3 linked regions of the Yarrowia lipolytica genome follow. The protein of the gene in region 3 interacts with the protein of the main gene of each other region in a biochemical or structural test. Links are inferred from orthologs where the notes say so. Each region holds a gene or a part of one and is shown on either strand. Other genes may lie near its edges.

Region 1 (5,509 bases), on a different chromosome or scaffold from region 3:
CTGGTGTGTGCTGTGTCGTTGTGATCCTTCCTGAATCAACGACGCTCGAATCACGGGACAGAGCTACTGTGAAGTGGGATGCGGAGTGGAGCGTCTTGAAATGGGACGAGCGACTCATCTACGTGTTCAATTTTGTGGCACCAATCTCGAAAGTGCTTCGTCTGGCTCCTTCTCCACAGGATAAACGGAAGAACTCCTTCCTGCTGGCCTACCTGGCTCTCTTTGGTCTGTATGGAACATCTCAGTACACTGGTTTTCTGTTCTACAAACGCCAATGGAACTGGGGCATGCAGGAGATTACCATTCTCAACGTGGAAGTTACAATCATTCTAATTGTGTCCCAAATCTTCCTAGGACCTCTGTTTGTCAACACGGCGGAAAAATTGCTGAATAACACCACTTCTTCCACTCCTGTGGCTATCCTTGGATGCAAGCTTCAGGCAGTTCTGACTTTTGTGGTTGGCTTTTTTCAGCTGTTGTTTGCATCTCAGACCATCGGAACACTGGCTGCCATTCTCTCAGGTCTTTCGGGTACCTTCATCTCGTCCACCATTGCTCTTCAGATGGGTCTTGGACCGCCCGAGAACATGTCTGTTATCATGGGAGGTATTGGTGTAGCGCGGAGTCTGGTGGCTGTTCCCAGTGAGATGATTTTGGCGGTACTGTTTGTGACCACTATCTCCGCACCCAGAATTTACCAGGCTGCCCTTATGGCTGTCGATGCTGTCAGTTTGGTTCTGCTTGGTGCTGCGTCCAGAGAAAATACCGGCAGTATTATGTTGCCATAGAGTAGAGGCAACAATGTATATAGTCATAGAGGGTCGCATCTATACAAGCAAGCGTTACTTTCTACTAAATAATGCTTCTATTAATGTATCCTATGTAAGTATTTGTTGTACATGACCGTTGTTTTTAGACCACAGTCAACCGCTCCAAAAACCGCGTCAAGTCGTTCTTATCCACCTCAATCACCGCCATTTCAAACATGTCCATCTTGTATCTCGTATGCACATCTTCTGCGGCCTTCGCAAACCGCTGAGTAAACTGGTTGAATACAAATCGGTCATCCTCCAGGTCCTCTTCCATGACAAAATGGTAATCTCGGGCCTGTCGAGGGTTCATGCCCAACACCATGTAGTTTCCAGTACTCTTGTCCAAAGAGGCCAGCACCAGTGGAGGAGAATACTTCTTTTTGTGGGCCTCGGCCTTTGTCTGGGCAATCCAGATACCCAGTCGACACAATGCCAGGGGGTTTCTGAACAGGGCCAGATCGGGTCCCTCCTTCACCACAGCCACCAAGTAGTCCGACACGGGCCGAATCTGGCCCTTTTCAATCAATGCAGTAGTAGTTCGAGCCACAGCTTGTTGTAGCAGCTTGGCCTTGCTGATTCCAAGCAACAGTGTATCCACATCTTCCAACGAGTCCCAGGCGCTCCAAAAGTTGGCTATCCAGAACTGGTCTCGTTGCGATTCGTCACGATAGTCTTGGTCGACTGTGAGCAGAATGCCCTCCTTAATATGATCCAATCCCGCGGGTGATTTGTCCATTCCTAGCTGCAAAATAACACCAGCAGCATCCACACAATCTCCAGCTGTCAGAGAGCCCTTGTATCCAAACTTTCGCACCACTCCGGGTCGCAGAAGATCCTCCAGATCGGCCACCTTGGCCGCCTTTTCGATTCGTTTGTTGAGACCCTGCTTGACGCTCACCTTCAAATGGATCCAGCCCTCTCGAGCCTCTGTCAATGAAACACCCATGATGGCCAGCATCTTCTGAAAGTTCTGACGGCCCTTTTCCGTCCACAGTTTCATCTTGGCCCAAATGTAATCCGTGTGGAACATGGAGTCGTAAATGTTCCAATGTCGAAGCACAAACAGCGAGTAGTCGGTTTCGAGTTTGAGAGACGTGACCAGCTCCTTTTCTGACACGGGGGCCTCAGAGTTTGCATTCTGGGCCATCTGGGCGGCTGCTTCTTCGTTGCCGACTCGATTTACTTCATCTGCAAGCATGGGAAACGAGTCCTGGAATACTTGCGGGTATTGACTGTCCAGAGAAGATGTTCCCACGACAGCTAACCATAAGCGAGTGATTGACGTTTCACCAATAAGCGACATGAGAGTGTAGAGCATGCAAGAGGCTGGGGAGGACTGAGAGGTGCCTTGCTGGTAGTAGGCTCTGATCTTGTCTTCAAAGTCGTCTTTTTGTTTCTTCGCCGACAGAAGTTGGGAATGCAGTTTCTTGGCGTCAGGCAGGTCTTCAGAGTTGGACCGTTTCGAAGGAAGTAGAGTGTCCACTAGATCACCACCATCGGAGTCAGAATCATTGTCGTCGACAGTATTGGTGTGGTGACCATTTCTCTTATGAATTTGCTGGTCGTCATCGTCGTCGTCATCGTCACCCTCATCTTCCAGATCACTCAGAGCGTCCAGCTCTTCGGCACTCATGTCGTTCAGCCAGTTGTATGCCACCAACAATTCCCCTCGCTCTTCCAAATTGCCCCGTCCGTCGTCAAAGCACACAATCTTGGAATCCAAAATGTTATCCAAGTGCCAGGGCCGGTTTCCGTCCACAATGTAAATCTTTTTGAGCTCCATCTCCTCGTCGTCCCCCCTCAACAGTTCCCCCACATCCTGAGTGGCACCGAACCCAATGAAGAAAACGTTGAGAATCTCGGGGTCCAGAGCCCGGTACTTGCGAATCATCTCCTCGTAGCCCGTCACCGGCACCGTCTTGTGGGGGATCAACTGGGCTCGCAGCAGATCAGAAAACATTCGAGCTCCACACAGAGCGTCCACATTGAGACACGACACAAACACCACCAGCTTGCACGTCATGTGAGCAATACTGGTCTTGCACAGCGCCCGATACGTCTCTTCAAACTGGTCTGGTTGGATGATCATGGTGTGTCGTTGTCAGTCGTCACTCACTTTGATTCGGTGTGGTGGAAAGACGCGTCAAGGTAAAGTTACGCGTGTGCAGACCGGTAATTAGAGGTTAGGGTACTGCAAAGAAAGTGCAGTCGGTGTGGTCACGTGAGGGTGTATATCTATGTGTGTGTATGTGTGTGTGTCCTGGTCACGTGATCGAAAAGGCGAGGGCGGAAACTGGCCCATAACGTGTCTCACAATCACTACAAGTAGATCAGGGGTGGAAACAAGTATGGATTTTAGTAGAGTTGGTGAAAAAAAATTGGTTTGTATGTAGGTATGTTTGTAGAGGTGTTTGTAGAGGGGTTGTAAGAAATATAAAAAGTGGATGTTGTAGAGAACGTGTTGGGGATTATTTCAATGATTTCTCCTTTGTAATTTGAGGTTCCTAAGTATCCACTATAGGCGTATGTATACTTTTACCTGTTACCGTACATTCTCTGGTTTGATGATAAGGTTTGTTAAATAAATGCCTTTAGTATTTGTTAAATCAATGGGATAAACTGTTGACACTAAACTAAGTCCCAACTAAATATTGTGGAGTACAATACAACACATTATTCAACAATTCAGACCAGTGCTCGTGTCGCTGACACCTGGTTACATTATTAATTACTGCTATTACAATTGAGGGGGAGGGGCGTCGACGTTAGCACTGGCTATCTTGGGCTCCTCTTCATTGGATTCGACGGCCTCGACCATCTCCTCCGAGTGTTTCTCGTCTTCGGGAAGGGCGCCAGGAACGTGGTCAGGCACCCAGTTTGCGGTTCTCCAGGCAGGAACTCGGGCGGCCCACATCATATCAATCTCTTCGAGGGTCTTGCCCTTGGTTTCGGGGAAGAGGACAAAGACGTGGATGGTCATGACGATACAGAAGACTCCAAAGATGATGTAGGTCTTCCAGTTGATGTTCTTGAAGGCCGAGGGCACGAATAGAGCGAGAGCAAAGTTGAAGATCCAGTTGGCAGAGGCGGTTACACCGGCAGCCACAGCTCGCTGCTTCAGAGGGAACAGCTCGGAGCAGTACAGCCAGATACCGGGGCCCCAGGTAGGCGCAAAGGTGGCCACAAACAGGTACGAGCACGCAATGACTCCCTTTTGGGCAGGCTTGTGAGTGGGCTCAATGACAATGGTTGTGAATGCGTCTCCGTCGAGTCCACCGGGGATCTGAGTTCCGTACACTGCAAGGATACCAGCGACGGCAAACAGCCAGATCATCATGACGATTGATCCGAACAGCAGCAGGGGTCGTCGTCCCACTCGGTCAATGAACAGAAGAGCGGGGATGGTCATGATCATGTTGATGACGTACTGGATAGACGAGGCCACCAGGTTGGCGTTTCCAGTGTATCCAGCCATGGTGAAAATCAGCACAATGTAATACATCATGACGTTCATGCCGGTGAGCTGCTGCCAGATCTGGGCCCAGATACCCACCATTGTTCGGTTGATGGAGTCCTTTTGGAACAGGTGCCAGAATCGCAGGTTTTTGGTCTCATGCTCGATTCGGACTGCTTCTCGGATCTCTTCAATCTCTAACAAAATGTCTTCTTCGGTGCCGTAGCCTCCCTGGTGGATGGCTCGAAGCACTCGCACGGACTCGTCCCAGTTGTCCTGCTTGGCTAGCCATCGCGGAGACTCTTCCAGGAACAAACAACCGAGAGACATGAGCAGACCGGGGATGATCTGCAGACCCCAGGCGACTCTGAATCCGGCGACTCCGTGGATGTTACTGAGACCGAAGGAAATGTAGAACATGATGAGGATACCCCAGGTAACGGCCCATTGGAAGAGACCGACAAGCCGACCTCGAATCTTCTTGGGAGACAGCTCGGAGATGTAGACGGGGATAACCGAGGAGCCCAGACCGATACCAAGGCCGGAAATGAGTCGACCGGCGATCAATTGGCCCTTGTTTTGGGCTGAGGACTGGATGGCAGCTCCAACCACCCACCAAAAGGAAGCAAAGTGGATGGCGAAACGTCGACCAAGTCGGTCGGAAATCCAGCCGGCCACCAGAGACGACAGGAAGGATCCACCGGCCATTGAGGCAGTGATACCGCCCTGCTGGATGGAGGTGGGGTACCCAAAGTACTCCTTGTAGGGTTTGGTGTCGACAAAGGCAGAAACAGACGAGATATCAAAGCCGAAAAGCAGACCACCCATGGTGGCCACGGCCGCAGTTAAGTAAGGATTGTGGAGTTTGGGGAACCGGTGCTGTAAGGCTCCCACCTGGTTAATTTGAGCGTTTCCAATCATTTTTTGGGGGGTGGGGGTGGACCGTGAGTCCGTTGACTTGTTATTTATACTGTTTCATTTAGCGCGTGAGACAAGCTATCTGCAGAGCGAAGGGGGTCTTTTAGACGGGTTATAGTCACTTGTAGGGTACTTATAGGGTACAGTACTTGTACTTGTAGTATGGGTCGAAACTACCAGGTGGTCTTGGGTGGGTGGTCCAGGACGGTCCAGGACGGTCCTGATGGTCATGGGAGGTATCCCATTTGCCGAATCGCCAGGTTGCACAATTGACACCGAAAGTTGCCAGATACACCTCTGTCTTCGGCCCCGACAAGCGGCTGAA
Region 2 (4,764 bases), on a different chromosome or scaffold from region 3:
TGTCTTTGTCATGCTCACCAATGTTTTGCTGTTGACAGTTCTCATTTCCATTCTTTCAACCCGGTTCTCGAAAATGATGAACAATGCCCGAGAAGAGTATACATTGTTGTTTGCAGAAAGTGTTGTGGAGGCAACCAGTGATCGAGTCACCTACTTGTACCCTCCCTTGAACCTGCTTCCGCTGCTGCTGCGTCCTCTGAGACTGTTTCTCACGAAAACCCAACAGCGACGAGTGAAGATTGTCACTCTCAAGCTCACCCACTTTCCTCTCGTCTTTCTCATCTGGTCGTTTGAGAATTTCGTCGTGTTTTACCATAGACAGATGAACCGAAGGGCCAAGAAGTTGGCGGAGAAGAGATGGGTCAAAGCGAGGAGGAGAGTGTATGTGGAAGAAGAGGGAGAGGGGTTGGGGGATGGAATTGCGGTTGGTGTTAGATGGTGAGCAAGCTGTACATAATTGTACAGTACATGCTGCACCAAAATATTTATTACTGTACTTTGTCGTTGTGCTAAACTCAGCGAGCGACTATCTACAGATAGTTGGATGCTTTAGTATAAGATTCAATATTAATTGAACCTTTTCTCAAAAATTAAGTATATCTAACAAAATGCCAAGTAAATCCGAGATCACACAATGGCCATATTGGAAGTCCCTGCGAAATAGTACGGACAGTGCTACAGTACAGTAGTCAACTAAAAAGCGCCTCTTTATACTCTACTGTAAGCCTGTATTCACCATGAGTCAGCTACAGTGTCCCCTTCAGATTTCTCCTGCTGGACGTCCCTTCCATATATATATGTAGTATCGCAGGTAGCTAGAAGCGCGACACCGAGAGCTCTTTAGCTTTATATCCATTCCATCAATTCATTAGTATGCAGTATAATTCCAGTCAAGAAACACATTTCGTTCGATTAATACTTAATCGTCGCCATGTACTCCTTATACGCCCGTCTCGAGGCACACCCCTTTTTGTACAACATCTTCTCAAATTCATCGTACTTGTGTACAAACTCTCCTCGTCGGCCAACATTGTCATAAATATCCGATATCCGCTCGGCCATGGCTGTGGCGATAATAGTCTCCAGTTCCTCGTCTTCAAAGAGCTCTAGGTAGTAGATGGCCAGGGCAAAGAAGAGAGGAGACTGGTATCGAAGATCGACGCCAGGAGCATCCGTTTTGAGAGCGTTCAAGACACTGGGCTTGAGAGCGTGCGGGATCTTGACGGTCACAAAACACTCTTGGTTGCCGGAATACGGGTCGTATTCAGACTGTGAGAGCACGTCTGCGATCCAAATGGGGAGATCAATGATTGTACCTTCGTTCATCTTGGTTAGCTGAGAGAAACGAAAACCGGGAGTCCGTGGACCGGTGCGCGTAAGCGAACAAGAGTGTCGCCAAATAATAGAATGCCACTGACAACACGTAGAGGGCTCCAAAGGCTGGACATGAGTTCATCAGGAAGCAAGTCTGGCCGACAATATGTTCATTTAGCTCTCAAGAGCAGATCAGAACATCAGAAGTTAACAAACAAAGGTCAAGCCCATGATTTAGAAGTTCATTGACCTCGACGATATCAAGCTGTGTGTAGGCAGTCTCAACTTATAATCGCAAGAGCACATCAAACGTATGCAGAACCAGACAGGACCAGGGAGGGCACCGCAGCTAATTCATCATATAGACCAGCTATATCATAGCGGACTTGGCCTAGGGACCACCTCCGTATCCAACCCGACCTCTCCATAACCTCATACTCACGTCTTTCCGTCCTCGTCCTTCCAAGAAGCCCAAGTTCGGGACTCCAACTTCAAATCGGCAAGGGATTTTCTGTGTTAGCAATGGGTGTGAGCAAATGGGGACAGAAGAGAGCTCGTCTAGACGAGATCCATTCTACTCGTACTAGAATCTGACTCGTACTCAAGCTGAGCCTCAGTCACAATCTTAGCGTGCAAGTTCCATCCAGGTAATGGACTCCCTGATAAATGCACTATTCGCTGCAGTCATGCCATCCCGTGTACTCACCTGACCCTCCATCAGAATCTCGTCCAGATCGTAATATCCACCCATGTTGTATTGTGTGTGAGTGTGTTAGCACAGTATAACATCCTGATGCACCTTAATTATAATTTCGCGTTTGGCGTTGTGCGTTTGAGATGTACAGTATGTACTGTAGCTTCTATGGGAGACCGAGACGCCACACCGCTGATGTAAACGAGTATCTCAGTTGATAAGCTGAAGTATATAACGCATCGACATCAATATATCGTCTCAGCTCGATGTCTCAACGTGTGTTCGTTCTCTACTTCTCAATCGTTGGTCAGCGACAGTCTTGAGCACGACCTGGCAGCTCTCCGGTTAGTGCTGCTCTGCTCAACTGAAGAGATCAACGCGTCACCCATTCCGATTCCACCAAGAATCAGAACGCGAGTAAGTGCTGGTTACACACTGTCTCGTTACAACTTCCAGCAGATTGTGTCCAAAACCAAATCAGACTGGCGCTTCTCCATCATGGGTATTTTTGATGGGGAGTCAGCATGGCGACACTGCATTGTCACCAGAATTCACTGCCAAACAAGTATAAAATCGTATACAAGCACGAGCATGATTTTGTTTACCAGTATCCATTCAATCAAATTGTTTACTAGTTCAAAACTAGCGTCGGTTTTCTCCCCATTCATCCCGTATCCGTACTGTACGTACTGTATGTAGCTACTATAAGCGATGACAGCACTACTGGCCGATGTCTACCAGTAGCACGTTTCGGTGGCTGTGTGTATTTGTCAGCGGTTGTGTCTGTATATTATTAGTTTAGTCACGTGCCACTGGGCTTGGGGTGGTTTGTAGAATTGAGAGGCTGTTGGAAACTCTGTGATTCGTGTTGATTAATTCGAGTATTTTAATTAATAATTAAGCGAATAGAATGAAGAAAAAAAAAAGAGGAAAATGAAATTTTCAATTAGTCAGAAAAATTCAGGAAAAATTCAGGGAAATTAAGATGATCCAAGAAAACCCAGAAAGAAGTCGGGGAAATCGATAAATTTCAAAACTCGGCTGAAAATCCCAGCAGAACCCAGCCAGTCGTTGTCTACTTGTAGGCGAGACGAGACCTCTGGTCTCTGACAACAGCCTTAGTCACCCTTCTGTCATCTTTCCTTCATGCACAATAATCCCGATAAGGTTGTTGCACGTAGATATAGACAGCCATGTTTGGGCATATTGGAGTACTCATGCCGTTAATTGAACCAGATAAATCCATTTTAAATCTTTCTTATGTCCACCAGTCGAATTTTCTCGATATCAATCCGCCCACAGCATCTTGTACCCTATTCGCAAATTATTCCATTGTCAATAAAGTTCAATCATACATACACCTCCTCTGTACATCACCACCTCCACACACCCAGTAGCCTCTCACGTCACTATCATGGCCTCCACTACGCCCCAATCAACCAGCTCAGCGTCCAGTTCCCGCGTGGGTGGCACCATGATCAACCCCAAGGGTAATTTCGACCCCACCATCCCCGCCATTCTACCCCATGAGCAAATGTACGCGATTCAGGTTGGAGATCAGCGATTCACTTTGTCTGGAGCGTCTCTATCAAGCGATGGCCCGTCGTACTTTACCGAGTTTTTCCTGAAACACAAAGACAACCCGCCGGTGCTTTTTCTCGACCGGTCTCCGGACATTTTCAAGCTCATTGTGCGCCACTTGCAGGGCTACTACATCATGTCTTCCGACGAAGCCACGTCGGTATACCTGCTGATTGATGCACGATACTACCAGCTGCCGCGACTGACTCAGCAACTGCTATCTTCGGAGCTCATGATTCGCATCGGAAACGAGAGCATCAAGGTTCCTCGGACGGCTTTTGATACTCCTGGAGACGAGCAGAACTTTTTTACTGCAGGCATGGGCGTGTTTTTCGGCCTCGAGCACGATACCAGCGACGAGGTGCATTCGCAGTTCATTCGTCCACCCCCTCTGGCAATTCCTACGGTGCCCAAGCGAGATGGAAAATTGTTCAAGGAGTTGCTAGCTATTCAGCTAGGCGGTTTTGTGAACATTCACTCGGAGGAGCATCGAGAAGCGCTGCTGAGAGAATGCAGATACTTTCGGTTCCGGGGGCTCGAACAGAAAATGATCCGGCACGAAATCCGAGTCGACCCAATTCGGAAGAAGAAGGAGATCTCGCTGTTCCTCAAAAACTTGGACGTGAAGAAGATTGAGCTAGTGGACGGAGTCGTCATGTACAAGCGGCCATTTGTTGACACGGAGCTCATGGATCTGGTGTTTCAGGTCCCCGACGAAGCCGTCCTATCTGTGGCGCTGTCCCGCGTCTCATTCTATGGTGCCACAAAGATCAAGCTGGACAAGATTGCAAAGCTTCATGGGCTCACGTTTGGAGCGGTGGACCTCGAGAATGCCCATCTGGAAATTTCAGGAAGCCAGGCTGCGGTGGAGGTGCAAAAGCGGGGCAAGAGTGATAGCCATACGTTTTTGACAAAGAGTGTGTGGAGGTTTAAGGATGGAGGTAGTGGAGAGTTGGTGCTGTTGAAAGGAGAGGGATATTTGAGTGAGGGGGAGTTTAATCGGACGAGGGAGTTCTTTTAATGTGAGCGAGCTAATCAGCGAGTGGTAAAAGACCATGAGCTTGCTCACGTTCACGGAAGAATTGATTTACGAGTGACTGCTTCTTTCCAGCAACAACATGTGAACGAAACTGCAAAATTCGTGTGATCCGTTTAATGTTGACTCTAGAGGAAGC
Region 3 (6,264 bases):
ATGGGGAGCACATAGGTATATACTTGTAGAATCCTGGGTGCTGCCATCTTTTGGTGTTCCTGGCCGAAATGTCAGGTGGTCTGAGTGAGTGGAGTTGTGTATCCATGAGTCTCATCGAACAGTCGTCATCCTGTCTCAACCTATGCTCATCTTGATTACCAGGTTTCAGTCTACAGTATATGACATCTTCAATCAACTTGGTACACTCTTCACCGCGGTTTATGTTTCCAATCAGCTGTTTCCAACTCTCAGTAGTCCAAGAACACTGAATATTGGCGAAGAAGAAATTAAACGACTGTGATCATCGAAACCATGGCAAACATCATCTCGATTGAACTCATATTCCAAACAGGACAAAAAAGCAGCAAAAAATAGTTGCCTACTGTTTCGCAGACCATTTGTAGCCCGACGTGGGGCTTGAACCCACAGCCTTGAGATGATCTCGAATAAGAGTCTCACGCTCTACCGATTGAGCTAGCCAGGCGTTGTGATTCGGGGTGGGGGATAGCCGTTAAGTCGGGAAGGGGAAAAAAAGGGAATGATAAAAAATAAAATAAAAATAAAAAAATCCGTAAGATCACGTGACACGCACTGAGGATTCGCATTCCGAGTCCTTAGGGGTCTACGAGTATCAGAGGTCTATCTGTTAAATAAAATCGACTTTTACACAACAAATACATTAACGACTTACATATGACTCGCTGGGGGCGTTCCGATAAACCAGACTCTCCTCTCTAACAGAGAGCCTCATCGTGAGAGTCTCGGCAGCCGAGTGAATTTGCCCCTGAGAATGGAAACAAGTGGTTTGTTGTTTGTCATTCACTTTGTTCATTTTCCTAATTAATTATCCATGTGTGATTCACCTGTGTATATCTCTTACTGCATCATCGCCAAAAGTCTGAGTCGCCGTCTAGGACCCTCGCCGGTGACGCGAATCTTGTTCTCATTCTGCATTCCCTGGACCACCTGGGAAAACTCCTCGTTCGTCACCGCGCGCGTGATATCCAACACCTTGCGCTGCACCTCATTGTAAGGAGCTTCTCCGGTGGGATACGACTCCAGAGCTCGCTCAATCTCCTGAGAAACCATGGCCTGCGCGGTTCGCTGGGCCAGAGAAGTTCCTGTCTGAATCAGATCCATGTCGATTCGTCCAGAAACAGGATCGGTGGCGTAATCCTTGATGGCGGCTCTGATAAGTCGCACGGCTTCGTCGACGTCAGAAACCTCGACTGTGGACGAAAGACGCATCTTGGCATGTGCCTCTGACAGCCGAATCATACTCTCCAGCTGTCTGGTGGTGGCTGTGATTCGTTTTTCCGAAGACCGAGGATCATCTCCCTGCTTTCGCATGTCCACATATGCCGCCACAAGTCTGTCTTTGGCGTCGGGGGTGATTTGAGGGAAGACATTGGCTCGTGCGTACGACAGGTACAGAGTCAGAAACTCCACCGGTAAGATCTCTCCAGTGGCAGCAGTGGCGGTGTTGTCGTCAAGGTACATGTTTGCGATATGAGTAGCCAGATGACGATCGACTCGTTCATCGACTTGGTCAAGCATTAGATAGACGAGATCAAAACGAGACAAAAGTGTAGGAGGAAGATCAATGTTCTTTGTCACGGGCAAATCGGGATTGTACCGAGAGTCAATGGGGTTGGCTGAGGCAATGATGGACGTTCGTGCGTTCAAGGTGGTGATAATGCCGGCTTTGGCAATCGACACCGTCTGCTGCTCCATGACTTCGTGCAACACCGATCTGGTGGCGTCACTCATCTTGTCAAACTCATCAATGCAACAAACTCCGCCATCCGAAAGAACCAGAGCGCCAGATTCAAGCACGGGCTGTCGAGTATCGGGATCGCGTGCCACATATGCTGTCAGACCCACGGCCGAAGAGCCCTTGCCTGAAGTGTACACTCCTCGCGGAGCAATCTTATGCACATATTGAAGCAGCTGAGATTTCGATGTGGAGGGGTCTCCGCACAGAAGAACGTTGATATCGCCTCGGTACTTGGGTCCACCTCCCTTGGTGAACGTCTTGTTTGTGCCTCCAAACAGCTGCAGTAAGATACCCTTCTTAACGTCGTCGTGTTCGTAGATGGACGGAGCCAGAGACCGGGACATGAGGTCGTAGAGATCGGCTCGTTCAGACACCTCCTTGATTCGGTCCATTTCGTCGACGGTGATTTTTCGCGTCTCCTCCACGTCATTCTTCTCAGCCGCGTCCTCGTTGTTGGCTCCAGATATGTCGGTATCAACCTGGACACGAGTCTTGTCGGTCTTTTGCACGTGAACAACGTCAATGTAGGTCTTGAACAGCGATCTGATGGTTCTGTTTCGGGGATTCACTCGCGTAGGTACAGATCGGTAAATACCCGTCACCTGGACCCGATCTCCGGCCTTGCAGGCGTCCACAAGCTCGTCATAGACACAGAGAGACACCGTGTGGGGCGTCTGGCCGTCGGGAACAACGTCCGGTGTCTCTTGGAGTCGCACAACCTGTTTGTCGCCGAAAATGGACCGGTTGTGCAGAATTTGCATGGAGTACTTACTCTGGCACACAGTTCGAGGACAAACGACAGGTTCGGCGATAATACCTCTTTCGATTTGGACCGGTTCGGTGTGGTTGCACACCGAGCACTTGAAAACCGCCTCCTTCATGTCAGGAATGACCTGCGTTGATCTCAAAGACAGTCCCTTGACGCACACAAGATTGTCAATGTCTGAAGGATTGAGCTCTCTCATGCCTCGATCTGTGCCCAGGCCATACGGACGCACCTTGTACATTGTCTGTTCCACCTCCTGGATTACCGACTCCTCCGGGTGATCACTTCCCTCGACCAGGAGAGCGACCATGACGTCCTTGATGGTCTGGTCCATCAGAGGGATGATTTCTTGGGGGTAGAGCACCAGCTTTCGGTAGAGAGACGCCGTCGGAGGATACGCCAGCAGGTTCTGCATGTCCAGGTTCAGGTTGGTCATGCCCAGTTCGTGCATCTGCTGCAGCATGATCACGTAGTACAGTCTGTCAGGGTCCGAGTTTGTGTGTTGTCCAGTGGCTCCAATGTCTTCCAACACCGTGCCATCTAGTTGCACCCGGTAGCTCGGTTTGAAGTGCATCAGGAACCGTCGAAACTTGGCCATCACCTCTGGAATGGCGATGTCTGTGCCCCAAAGTACCGCTCGCGGCTCGTTTCCGTCTGTGGAGATCCCCTCGGAAGGCATGAGGCCCGCGGTGGAGATGTCGTTGTCGCTCTGGAGCCCGAGACCCGTGGACGACAGTCCCTCAGAGTCCAGGCGCATTGGCGAGCTTTCGAAGCCGTTTCCAAAGGTCGTTTGTCGACGTGGCGTGTTGATGTCGGACGAGAAAATGTCGCCTCGGGGCTGACGACCGCCGGCGGTGGCGCGAGTTGGGGTGGAGTCGAGATCAGACAGAAGAGCGGCTCCTCTGGACGAAGGAGCGCCACCCTGACGAGCTCCGGTGGACGAGGGAAGTCGTCGGGTGCCGCCGGAAGACGGCATCATGGCCGGCGACGAAGCCATGCCGAGCTCGCTGGGGGGATTCGACGAGCCCATAAACAGGGGCGACGACGACACGTTGTTGTCCCGCTGGGGGGACGATCCCAGTCCGATTGGGGAGCTGGGTGTGGACATGACGGGTGGATTTGCGCAACAGAAACAGAAATGCGGGAAACTGCGGTGATGTCGCCGATGACAGTGTCAATGTCAATGTCCAGTGCGGTGTTGTGGAAGCGGTGGTTGGTTTGGGAGAAATTCCTAATGCTTGGGACGCGTTAAAGTTTCAATTAAACGTCCCAATCGGGCACAGGAGACGTGTCGGTAGGGTAACTTGACGCGTGCCTCCCGAGACTAGAGAGATGGGCTTTTGACTGAGGGGATACGGGACCGTGAAATACCAGCTCCACGGCGCTTTCCCGTGTGTTTGTGTCACCCAGTTGCATTTCTTCACGTCCAGATGTACACCGAATGGTAAAAGGTGGGAGACATACTGTATGTACAGTACATACATACTGTACATACAGTGTATGTACTGAAGATGCTGTATATCTTTTTGAGAGGAGTGTTGGAATGAGTTGTGGAGCTTGGATGGTGATTTCAATGGCACTTTTGTATTGTAATGCTTGTACAAGGAATACAATGGTGGCTTTTGTTTTCTCGTGGGATAACGCTGGAAGAAGTTGGAAGGAGTTGTTCAGACGGCGTAGTGTTTGCCTCGGATAGATCTTGTACGAGTGGCGATTTCTCAAATATGAAGACATGTTTGTATTGCAACATGCACTTTCTGATTCCAATCGAGTTTTTTGATTCCATTATGACTACAATACAGTACTTTTGGTGGCTCTAGTACCAGTACTCGCTACAAGTACACACTACTGTTTTGATTATATATCGATCCTAGAAGGGTGTAATAAGTATTAACTGAATCACGGAATCAATACGAGTTAATTGGAGCTTTTCTTTTTCTGATTGGAGTAGTATTTCACGAGTTGGATGGTTTCGAGTGTGCAACTTCATATGGAGTGCATATACTGAAGCAGAGAAGTCAGAGCCGGTACTGAAGGGCTATAGACATTGTACAATCTCAGATTCTTGGATATTTCATGGGGAATGTGTTTTGCTTCCTCTTGTGTAGCTAGACAGACCGTAGCTGTATATTGTACCTACCGACAGTGACGTGAATAGAGCGACGATTACCCTAGTGTTTGTGACTTCCCATTATTGAGTACTTTTTTTTTTCTGAATAATACATTCATCAATTATGTCGACTCTCAACTCCTCATCCACTGTCCAACAAATATCAGAGTCTTCTTCATCATAGACACACTGGGCCATCGTCACTCGATCTTCTTCAGGATCGGGATCGAAGGACCAAATCTGTTCCCCAGGTAAACGCAATCTCGTTCCCGAGACTGTCTTTAGCAGCAATACATTTCACTCCTGGAAGCTGGCCTTCGAGATTCTTGAAAGCCTCATAAGCTGCCGTTTTCAGATGGAGACATTTGGATCATTTCACAGGCACAGCTGGGCCAGTTGGCCCGGGCCACGTGCATTCTCACGGCACTGATCCTGACTGGAGAAAACAGGTAGTTAGACAAGGCTTCGTCGGTGCCTTGATAAAATTTGTCGTAGCTTTTGGAATGAACTACGAGCCAAGTAGAGCTGAGTCTAGCCCGAACCAGAGTCAAATGACACAGCCCAACACCTCAAGAGACGACTGGGTGTAGTGCGACAGGGTTAGGAGGTGATCTGCTACTTCTGGTGAGGTCTGCAGATCGCCGATGGTTTAAAGGAGAATGTGATCCTGGATGTGGATCTGCTAAACCTCAATGTGAGCGAGAGATATTGACTCTGTCGACTAACGCTTGCTGCCGCTCGACTTCAACGGCATTGTTATTGAGTTGATGAAGGGTTTCGGACAAGCGTCGCAGTGTCAGCGAGCCTCGACAGTAGCATCCGTAACTGACAGTTAGAATAACAAAAGATCCCAGTCCAATCAGTTCACACTGTCATTCACACATCCGTCTTTTCCTTCGCCATTCACATATCCGTCTCTTCCTTCTTGACACGGCCACTGAAATCATGACTACAATCGTCTTCTTTCTTGGGGTTACTGACCCTTTCTGAGGCTTGTAGCAGCACATGATCTGTGTCCTCCTGTTTCTCCCCCTTCCCGCGATACAGTTGTCCTAACTCCCTCCACAGCTCCAGCCTCTTATCTCTCACCAACCCACTCGTACTGGGCACCACAAACACCCTCGATGTGCCCATGTGCACGGGCATGAGCCCAAAGTGAGGCATCTCACTCTTCTTGATCCCCTGGTGCTTGAACACGGCGCGAAATACAGTCGCCCAAATGCCGCGGCCCACAATACACACCAGCGCCGGTTTGTTGGCGCTAATCTGGTCCACGAGAATCTGCGCGCCCAGGGCCATCTCTTCACGCGACAAGTCTTCGCAGCCTCGCGTCGGACGAGCCACCAGGTCCGTGAATCCGATTCCGTGGCTGTCCATAAGAGAGGAATCGTCGTAGCACGTCAGACCGCCTCCGATGACCACGTACTTGTTCAAGTTTTTCCAGAAGGAGTTCGAAGGATGGGCGTAGTAGTGGCCTTTTTCCGAAGACATGATTCCGGGATTGAACCCGACGAATACGAGTCTCAGACGGGGTTTGAGAAGCGTAGGTAAGGGTAAAAGAGACTGGGGCGGTTTGGCGTCGTCCATCTCAGCCGCCTTTACCGGATCACC

What was found. The genes of interacting proteins can lie anywhere in the genome.
Region 1: the proteins of YALI1_F07429g (region 3) and YALI1_B08438g form a complex in vitro, tested with the Saccharomyces cerevisiae proteins (5 studies listed by BioGRID). The link is inferred for Yarrowia lipolytica from reciprocal best matches to the Saccharomyces cerevisiae genes MCM4 and CDC45.
Region 2: the proteins of YALI1_F07429g (region 3) and YALI1_D02831g form a complex in vitro, tested with the Saccharomyces cerevisiae proteins (2 studies listed by BioGRID). The link is inferred for Yarrowia lipolytica from reciprocal best matches to the Saccharomyces cerevisiae genes MCM4 and PSF3.

Annotation. Positions count from the first base shown.
Region 1 is NC_090771.1:840,937-846,445, forward strand, and holds YALI1_B08438g (uncharacterized protein), read right to left. Parts: upstream 2,902-5,509; coding exon 913-2,901; downstream 1-912. Other genes in the region: YALI1_B08401g (uncharacterized protein), read left to right, coding at 1-788; YALI1_B08461g (uncharacterized protein), read right to left, coding at 3,550-5,187. UniProt on the Saccharomyces cerevisiae protein: Required for initiation of chromosomal DNA replication. Acts at the origin of replication. Also has a role in minichromosome maintenance.
Region 2 is NC_090773.1:281,858-286,621, forward strand, and holds YALI1_D02831g (uncharacterized protein), read right to left. Parts: upstream 2,066-4,764; coding exon 2,021-2,065; intron 1,826-2,020; coding exon 1,757-1,825; intron 1,327-1,756; coding exon 913-1,326; downstream 1-912. Other genes in the region: YALI1_D02804g (uncharacterized protein), read left to right, coding at 1-442; YALI1_D02852g (uncharacterized protein), read left to right, coding at 3,423-4,610. UniProt on the Saccharomyces cerevisiae protein: Functions as part of the GINS complex which plays an essential role in the initiation of DNA replication by binding to DNA replication origins and facilitating the assembly of the DNA replication machinery.
Region 3 is NC_090775.1:740,361-746,624, reverse strand, and holds YALI1_F07429g (uncharacterized protein), read right to left. Parts: upstream 3,652-6,264; coding exon 877-3,651; downstream 1-876. Other genes in the region: YALI1_F07416g (uncharacterized protein), read left to right, coding at 4,534-4,538, 5,015-5,243; YALI1_F07401g (uncharacterized protein), read right to left, coding at 5,557-6,264. UniProt on the Saccharomyces cerevisiae protein: Acts as a component of the MCM2-7 complex (MCM complex) which is the putative replicative helicase essential for 'once per cell cycle' DNA replication initiation and elongation in eukaryotic cells.